2 linked regions of the Macaca fascicularis genome follow. The protein of the gene in region 2 interacts with the protein of the main gene of each other region in a pairwise test. Links are inferred from orthologs where the notes say so. Each region holds a gene or a part of one and is shown on either strand. Other genes may lie near its edges.

Region 1 (4,734 bases), on a different chromosome or scaffold from region 2:
TGGATACCAAGGGATCCAAGTTAATGTTAGCAACAATAGACATCACATGACTTAATGTAGCACCCAGAGAACTCATGTACCATCCCTGCCTCTGCTTTGGGGGGAGGGGAAAATTGCTATGAAGGACATTACCATTGTTAAAATTAAAACATGAATTTTATGTTAGATATTAGATTGTATCAATGTTAAATTTCTTGAATATGATTATACACACAAAAATATAATTTTCCAGGAAAACACTCTTGTTCTTAAGACATACACACTACTGTATCAGGGTGCAAACTATTCAGGGTGCAAAAAAGTCATGGTATCTGTAGCTTATTCCCAAGTGGTCAGCAAAAAGTGTGTATTATAGAGCATGGTTAAGCAAATATGGTAAAATGTTAACAATCTGTGAATCTAGGTGTAGGGCACACAGGAGTTCATTTTACTAATCCCATCATTTTTCTCCAAGCTTGATCCTTTCCCATAATAAAGTTTAAGAGAAAAAAAAAAAGGTTACTCTTACCACAGATTTGGTATCCGTGCTATGGAATAATTTGCAGTGTTCCACAAGTCCTTCCTGATCAAAGTTCTTCTCAGGACAGTAAGGACAAGGAAAGGTGTAACGGTTTGGAACATTCCTGGAAGGTGAAAGACAGGAAAAAAGAACATTTTTCTGTGAGTACCTTTCCATTAAACTTCAACCACAGTACACTCCCAAAAGGAGCAAAGCTCACCGAATGTGTAACGACAAGGACGCTGATGATCACTTTAGACTCAGATCAAGTGTTCTGAAGACAACAGCTCAGCTAGCCGGACATGGTGATTCACACCTGTAATCCCAATAGGCCAAGGCAGGAGGATCACCTGAGGTCAGGAGTTCAAGACTAGCCTGGCCAACATGGCGAAACCCTGTCTCTACTAAAAAATATAAAATTTAGTCAGGATTACTGGCAGGTGCCTGTAATCCCAGCTACTCGGGAGACTGAGGCAGGAGAATCTCTTGAACCCGGGAGGCAGAGATTGCAGTGAGCTGAGATTGCGCGACTGCACTCCAGCCCAGACAACAGAGCGAGACTCCATCTCAAAAAAGAAAAAAAGAATAGCTCAGCTAACATCTGAAGTGAACACCAGAGTCCTCCCTTGCATACTCCTCCCAAAATACTTGTATCAGCTTTAGCCAGCATAACAATTCATACAACTAAACCCCTGACCATGCAAGGTGTCCAACCTCTTTGTATTAATAGCAAGAGATGACCTCCACCTAAGGGGAGACTGAGTCATTTACCTTGGCTGAAGAGATGCATCCTTAATGGTGGCCTTCACACCTTCCATGATGTAATTCTGGTATTTGGAACAAGTAGCCACGTGGGACCGGATCTTGGATAGGAAGAACTCAAATAGGAAGAATCAGAGCCCACAAGTTAGTGAGGACCTTGTAACAGGCCAAATGTAGTCCCAAACAAGGGCGCAAAGAAAACTAGACCTACACCACCCTGGCAAATAATCTCACCAGACTCCTGACTATGCTGATGGGGCTGAAACCCTGATTATTGCAGATTTCCCATTAATAACAAGGCTGCTATTTTATTTGACTAAATCAGGATATCCGCTTCCACTCTAAAATAACTCTTCTAGAGGTTTGCTCCTATTCATGACAGGCTGTGTGCTCACAGACAAGTTCCAAATCTAGGATGTTGTTAAAAGTTTTCTATAGTAGCATTTAAACTAGTCTCCTTATAGCAAACCAAAAACCACGTTCTGTTATGTGCAGCAGAGAAAAGTGATCATTTAGGTAAAACGTATAAAAGCCACCAACCCTGATTAAAGTATCAATCACCAGACTCTGAGAAATAATCTTTAAAATCTAAATTCTTTTTTTTTTTTGAGACGGAGTCTCACTCACTCTGTTGTCCAGACTGAAGTGCAGTGGCACCATCTTGGCTCACTGCAACCTCCGCCTCCCGGGTTCAAGTGATTCTCCCACCTCAGCCTCCTGAGTAGCTGGGGTTACAGGCGTGTGCCATCATGCCCAGCTAATTTCCATATTTTTAGTAGAGATGGAGTTTCACCGTGTTAGCCAGGATGGTCTCGAACTCCTGACCTCAAGTGATATGCCTGCCTTGGCCTCCCAAAGTGCTGGGCTAACAGGTGTGAGCTACCATGCCCAGCCCAACCTTTCACATAAAATCTAGGCTGTGCAATAGTAAAACAGAAAGAGAAGAAAACCCAGAGAATAATGCTTCATTACAGGTTTTCTAAAAAGAAAGAAAGTTTTAAGAATTGAAGAAAAGAGGGAGGAAAGAAAAACATTTTTAGAGGCATGCCAACCATACAATAACTAATCTTGAAAATGGAGAAAAGCAAAAGCACACAGTAAAACAAACAAAAAGCCCATCATGGGTGGAGCGTGGTGGCTCACACCTGTAATCCTGAGGGAGGCTGAGGTGGACCATCACTTTGCACTCCCAAGTTTCAGATCAGCATGGGCAACATGAAAACTCTGTCTCTACTAAAAATACAAAAAAAATTAGGTGGGCGTGGTGACACATGCCTGTGGTGCCAGCTACTTGAGAGGCTGAGGTGGGAGGATGGTTTGAGCCAGGGAGGCAGAGGTTGCAGTGAGCCGAGACCACACCATTGCACTCCAGCCCGGGCAACAAAGTCAGACTCCGTCTCAAAAAACAAAACAAAACCAAACCAAAAACCACATTATGCATGCATAAATAAAGATGAAGAGACCGGGTGCAGTGGCTGACACCTGTAATCCCAGCACTTTGGGAGGCCGAGGTGGGCGGATCACAAGGTCAGGAGATCGAGACCATCCTGGCTAACACGGTGAAACCCTGCCTCTACTAAAAATACAAAACAAAACAAAACAAGAGATATATACATATATATGTATACATATATATATATCTGCGCGTGGTGGCAGGCACCTGTAGTCCCAGCTACTCCAGAGGCTGAGGCAGGAGAATGGTGTGAACCCAACAGGCGGAGTTTGCAGTGAGCCGAGATCATGCCACTGCACTCCAGCCTGGGCGACAGAGTGAGACTCCGTCTCAAAAAAAAAAAAAAAAAAAAAAAGGCAGTAGGAAACTGTAATTCAGTATCTTGAGTTTCTAAAAGTAAACTTCAAAGGGGGAAAAATGCTCCAAGATTGGAGCTCCAGCTTACCATGATGATTGTCTCACCTCCAGTTAAAGAACTTGACTTTAAGCTACAAACTGAGAAATCCCCAATTTTTTTTTTGTAGAAACTGGGTCCACTATATTCCCCAGGCTGCTCTCAAACTCCTGGGCTCAAGCAATCTTCCCACCTCAGCCTCCCAAGGAGCTGGGACTACATGCAGACACCACTACACACAGCTAGTTTTGTTTGTTGGCTTGTTTTGGTATATACAGTGTCCCACTATGCTGCCCAGACTGATTTCGAACTCCTGGGCTCAAGTGATTCTCTTACCTTGGCCTCTCCAAGTGATAGGATTACAGGCATAAGCCACCATGCCCAGCCTCAATAGTGAAGCCCCCAATTAAGATATAGAAAATAGCCCTATTCAGCATTAAAATGGTCCTACTATGCATCGCTAATACTAAATCACCCTGAAAAGGAGATGGTAAGGTATATTCATACTATGGGCATCCATACCGAAGTGTTAAAAATAATGAAACTGACATGCAAGGCTGTCCAATATGTAAGAGGAAAAAAAAACTGAAAGTGAAAAAAAAGTTGGGAATGAATGTACATTTAAACAAGTGAAAAAAGTTGAAGAAACATATATATTATAGTGTGATCTCATTTTGCAAAAATTCTACAACTGGGTTGGTAAACATTCTACAGTTTTTACCAACTTTTGGTAAAAATTTGTCAAAGGGCAGAAAATGTTATGTAGCTTTCGAAACTGAATCACTTTTTTTTTCTTGAGACAAAAAAAAGTCCAGCTCTATCGCCCAGGTTGGAGTGCAGTGGTGAGAACTCAGCTCACTGCAATGTCTGCCCCCTGGGCTCAAGCCATCCTCTCACCTGAGCCTCCCGAATAGCTGAGACTACAGGCACACACCACCATGCCCTGCTAGTTTTTTGTATTTTCAGTAGAGCTGAGGTTTCACCATGTTATCCAGGTTGGTCCAGAACTCCTGGACTCAAGCAATCCACCCACCTCGGCCTCCCAAAATGTTGGGATTACAGGCATGAACTACCTTGCCAGGCCTTAAATTGAACCATTTTAAAATAATCTCTGGAATGAGGAACAAGCCTACATTATTGTGTATTTTTGTATGGTCTGCAATTTAAAAAATTTTAATGATTCTAAAATCAACAAGGCTGTGAATATCTCTTGGAAAATAAGACAACAGTATTTCTCCTTTCCAGTAGCAGTTATAACACGTATGAAAATAAATATACTTGACTCTGATTATACAAGAGCATTTCAAATGTTAGCTATTGTTACTATAATCCAATGATTTCATATTGACTTTTTTTTAAGAGACAGGGTCTTGCTGTCAGCCAGGCTGGAGTGCAGTGGCATGATCATAGATCACTGTAATCCCAAACTCCTGGGCTCAAGTGATCCCTCCGGCCTCTGCCTGCTGAGTAGCTGGGCCTACAGGTACATACCACCACATCCGGCTACTTTTATTTTTTGTAAAGATGAGGTCTCACTATGTTGCCCAGTCTGGTCTCTTAACTCCTAGCCTCAAGCTCTTGTCTTGGACTCCCAAAGAGCTGGGGTTACAGGCATGACCCACCATG
Region 2 (5,206 bases):
AAAGGGATCCAAGATTATATACCATAGGATTAGAATCTAGATTCTTTGCTCTAGTTTCAGGAAACCAGAGCCATGTCAAGAAATCCAAAATAATCCCATTATCTCTATATCATTTGAGAGTTTCCCAAATAAACTTTTTCATTCAGGAAGGTAACATTTTAACACAAACTTTTCTCCAATTTATAACTGTCTCCTAAAGAAAGATTAAATAAATCACATCTGGAGAACAGAGCCCACATATATTCCTCTGTATTAATATATCCCCTCTTATCCACAGGGGACACACTCCAAGATCCCTATTGGATGCTTGAAACCACGGATAGTACTGACCCTATACGTTTTTTCCTATATGTACATACCTATGATAAGGTTTAATTTATAAATTAAACACAGTAAGAGATTAACAATAATAGAATAGAGTAATTATAACAATATACTGTAATAAAAATTATGTGAATGTGCTCTCTCAAATACCTTATTGTACTATACTCACTTATTTTTGGACGATGGTTGACAGTGGGTAACTGAAACTGCAGAGAATGAAACTGCAGATAAGGGTGGACTACTTGGCTACCAGCCCCATGGATTATTTGCACACAGGTGACAAAGAAACACTATTAGAAGTACCATAGCCCTCATATTGAGCTTTTCTTGAGGCATATTTACATCCAGTAATCACTAAACCATTGAACAATACCTTTATAATTCAAGAACAATAAGCACAACAGAATATGAAAACATAGCTACTTCTGACATCTAACAGCTATCTGTTTAATTATGTCCCAAGGTTATTCTAAGCACTGTAAAGACACTCTTAATCTTCCCACAGTTTTTACAGATAAAGATAATCGAGATACAGAGCCAGTACTTCAGGTTTTAAGAAGAAAAGCCAGGACTCAAAGCAAATCTAATTATAAAGCCCATGCTCTTAATTACTAAGCTAACTTCACTAAATTATGCTTCAGGAGTTAAAAATCTCTACCTCCTTGGCAAGTTTAAGTTCTCATACTAAGAGGGGGAAAAGAAAAGACACATTTAAATAATACTGCATTGTTATCTCCTTCTGTAAAGTTGTATTAGCAGTCAGCTTTTACACTATCGTTTATGAAAAGGATATTCCCACAAACCAACTACTTATTATGACTAAACTGGTATGCAAAAAGCCTGGGTTCAACCATTAACCAGCTGTTTCTCTGAGGAACAATCAACCTCCTTGGGCCTCAGTTTCCTGATTTTATAGATGAGGAGTTTGGCCTAGATCTATTTCAGCACTGAAATTCAATACATTTTAGTACATTTTCTAAGACACTATATTTTTCTTAACAGATTTTGAACAGCATCTTTTGAAAACTTTCCAACTTAAAATACGTAACATATACTCACATCTGTTCTTTTACTCAAACATACTCAAAACTAATCTGTTATTAGAAGTCAGGAAAGTAACTAGAAAGGAAGGAGGATTCCTATGGTACTGGGAAGGGTCTGTTTCTTGATTTGGATGCCAGTCACACTTTATTATGTACACGTTTTACTTTAATATGAAAAAGGGTGGTTTTCCTCCCCAAAAGGTAACTATGAAGAAAGTTAAGAACATGATCTAACTCTACAACTATGTTTGAGTATATAAGAGCTGTGCAACCTTTCTGTTCTACATATGTAAATGTGTTTCTTGAATAAGTGCATCAATAATCTCTTTGTTCCATAGTTCCAATTCATGTGCCTAGAGAAAAGTTTATTTACTTAAGAATTTCAGCCAGGCGTGGTGGCTCACACCTGCAATCCCAACACTTTGGGAGGCCAACGCTGGCAGATCATCTGAGTTCGGGAGTTCAAGAACAGCCTGATCGACCACCATGGAGAAACTCGGTCTCTACTAAAAATACAAAATTAGCTGAGCTTGGTGGTGCATGCCTGTAATCCCAGCTACTCAGGAGGCTGAGGCAGGAGAATCGCTTGAACCCAGGAGACAGAGGTTGCAATGAGCCGAGATTGCGCCATTGCACTCCAGCCTGGGCAACAAGAGCAAAACTCTGTCTCGGGGGGGAAAAAAAAAAGAATCGCAATATTACCACAATTCCTTTGGGACTGTCTCCTGAAATTTGAGGTCAGTCTTAACTTTCCTCAGCTCAAGAAGGCTGGGTGAGGTGGCTCATGCCTATAATCCCAGAACGTTGGGAAGCTGAGGCAGAAGGACTGTGTGAAGCCAGGAGTTCAAGACCAGCCTGGGCAACATAGTGAGACCCCATCTCTACAAAAAGTAAAAACTAGCTGGGTGTGGCAGCACGTACCTGTAGACCCAGCTACTTGGGAGGCTGAGGTGGAAGGCTTGCTAGAACCCAGGAGGTCAAGGCTGCAGTGAGCTATGACTGTGCTCCTGGGCGAATGAGGGAGACCCCGTCTCAACAACAACAACAACAACAAAAAGCACCTAGCTCAAGAACCCCCCTCATACAGTCATACAGCCCGGGCACGATGGCTCACGCCTGTAATCCCAGCACTTTCAGAAGCCAAGGCAGGCGGATCACCTGAGGTCAGGAGTTCGAGACCAGCCTGGCTAGAAACCCCATCTCTACTAAAAATAGGAAAATTAGCTGGGTGTGGTGGCACGTGCCTATAATCCCAGCTACTGGGTCAAGCAGTAGAACTACCTGACCTGGGAAGCAGAAGCTGCAGTGAGCCAAAATCACGCCACCGCACTCCAGCCTGGGTGAGAGTGAGTTTCCATCTCAAACAAAACAAAACAAAAAAACTCCAGGTCGGGTGGCTCATGCGTGTAAGCCCAGCACTTTGGGAGGCCAAGACAGCCAGATCACTTGAGGTCAGGAGTGTGAGACCAGCCTGGCCACATGGTGAAATCCAGTCTCTACTAAAAATACAAAAAATTAGCCAGGTGTGGTGGCGCATGCCTGTGATTCCAGCCATTCCGGAGGCTGAGGCCTGAGAATCACTTGAAGCCAGGAGGTGGAGGTTGCAGTGAGCCAAGATCAAGCCACTGTACTCCAGGCTGGGCGACAGAGACTCTGACTCAAAACAAAACAAAAACAAAAAAGAACCTCCCTCATTCAAATACCCTCAGAATCCCATAGCATTTACTCTTTGCCCCTCCCATTTTTATCTATCCTTTGTCTGTCCTGTATCTCCAACCAGTAAGCCTTTTGGGGCTGTGGTCAACATGTTCAGTAACTATCAATAATGTATTCACTGGGAAATAAGAGTACATAGTCTTGGCTGGGCATGGTGGCTCACACTTGTAATCTCATCACTTTGGAAGAGCGAGGCAGGTGGATCACTTGAGGTCAGGAGTTTGAGACCAGCCTGGCCGACATCATAAAACCCTGTCTCTACTAACAATATAAAAAATTAGTTGGGCATGGTGGGGTGCGCCTGTAGTCCCAGCTACTTGGGAGGCTGAGGCAGGAGAACCACTTAACCTGGGAGGCGGAGGCTGCAGAGAGCTTGGATCATGCAACTGGACTCCAGCCAGGGTGACAGAGCGAGATTCCATCTGAAAAAAAAAAAAAAAAAAAAAAAAAAAAGTCCAGGCATGCCAGGCATGGTGGCTCACCATGTAAGCCCAGCACTTTGGGAGGCCGAGGCAGGCAGATCATCTGAGGTCAGGAGTTTGAGACCAGCCTGGCCAATATAGTGAAACCCTGCCTCTATTAAAACTACAAAAATTAGCAGGGTGTAGTGCCCGGGCGCGGTGGCTCACACCTGTAATCTCAGCACTTTGGGAGGCCAAAGCAGGCTGATCACGAGGTCAGGAGACCGAGACCATCCTGGCCAACATGGTGAAACCCCATCTCTACTAAAAAAATACAACAAATTAGCCGGGCCTGGTGGCGGGTGCCTGTAGTCCCAGCTACTCGGGAGGCTGAGGCAGGAGAATGGCGTGAACCCGGAAGGCGGAGCCTGCAGTGAGCTGAGATTGCGCACCACTGCACTCCAGCCTGAGCAACAGAGCGAGACTCTGTCTCAAAAAAAAAAAAAAAAAAAAAAAAAAAATTAGCTGGGCAGGGTGGCGCATGCCTGTAATCCCGGGATTCCAGCCATTCCGGAGGCTGAGGCATTGGTTGAACCTGGGAGGCGAAGGTTGCAGTGAGCAAGATCAAGCCACTGCACTCCAGGCTGGGTGACAGAGCCGAGACTCCTTCTCAAAAACAAAACAACAACAAAAAGGAATCTCACTCATACAGATACCCTTAGAATCCCATAGCATTTACTCTTTGCCCCTACCATTTTTATCTATCCTTTGTCTGCCCTGTATCTCCAACCAGTTAAGCTTTTTGGGGCTACAGTCAGTATTTTCAAAAACTGTCAATAATGTATTCACTGGGAAATAAGAGTATATAGTCTTGGCTGGGCAGTGGTGGCTCATGCCTGTAATCCCAGCACTTTGGGAGGCCGAGGCAGTTGGATCACTTGAGGTCAGGGGTTCAAGACCAGCCTGGCCAACATGGTAAAACCCTGTCTCTACTAACAATACAAAACATTAACTGGGCGTGGTAGGGTGCACCTGTAATACCAGCTACTCAGGAGGCTGAGGCACGAGGGTCACTTGAACCCGGGAGGCAGAGACCATGGTGAGCTGAGATTGTGCCACCATACTCCAGCCTGGACGACAGAGCGAGACTCTGTCTCAAAAAAAAAAAAAAAAAAAAAAAAAAAAAAAAGCCCAGGTGCAGTGGCTCACGCCTGTAATCCCAACACTTTGGGAGGCCAAGGCGGCAAAATCACAAGGTCAGGAGTTCGAGACCAGCCTGGCTAATATAGTGAAACCCGTCTCTACTAAAAATACAAAAAATACCAAAAAAAAAAAACAAAAAACCCTCAGGCATGGTGGCACATGCCTGTAATCCCAGCTACTCAGGAGGCTGAGACAGGAGAACTGCTTGAACCCGGGAGGCAGAGGTTGCAGCGAGCCAAGATTGCGCCATTGTACTCCAGCATGGGCGACAGACGGAGACTCCGTCTCAAAAAAAAAAAAAAAAGTGGGCCGGGCGCGGTGGCTCAAGCCTGTAATCCCAGCACTTCGGGAGGCCGAGACGGGCGGATCACAAGGTCAGGAGATCGAGACCATCCTGGCTAACATGGTGAAACCCCGTCTCTACTAAAAATACAAAAAACTAGCCGGGCGAGGGGGCGGGCGCCTGTAGTCCCAGCTACTTGGGAGGCTGAGGCAGGAGAATGGCGTAAACCCGGGAGG

What was found. The genes of interacting proteins can lie anywhere in the genome.
Region 1: the proteins of UBE2K (region 2) and RNF114 interact in binary tests that used the Homo sapiens proteins (3 or more experiments, as listed by UniProt). The link is inferred for Macaca fascicularis from reciprocal best matches to the Homo sapiens genes UBE2K and RNF114.

The regions. Positions count from the first base shown.
Region 1 is NC_088384.1:106,026,419-106,031,152, reverse strand, and holds part of RNF114 (E3 ubiquitin-protein ligase RNF114), read right to left. Parts: intron 1,378-4,734; coding exon 1,271-1,377; intron 624-1,270; coding exon 509-623; intron 1-508. UniProt on the Homo sapiens protein: E3 ubiquitin-protein ligase that promotes the ubiquitination of various substrates. In turn, participates in the regulation of many biological processes including cell cycle, apoptosis, osteoclastogenesis as well as innate or adaptive immunity.
Region 2 is NC_088379.1:38,998,938-39,004,143, reverse strand, and holds the start of UBE2K (ubiquitin-conjugating enzyme E2 K), read right to left. Parts: upstream 3,521-5,206; 5' UTR 3,506-3,520; coding exon 3,432-3,505; intron 1-3,431. UniProt on the Homo sapiens protein: Accepts ubiquitin from the E1 complex and catalyzes its covalent attachment to other proteins. In vitro, in the presence or in the absence of BRCA1-BARD1 E3 ubiquitin-protein ligase complex, catalyzes the synthesis of 'Lys-48'-linked polyubiquitin chains.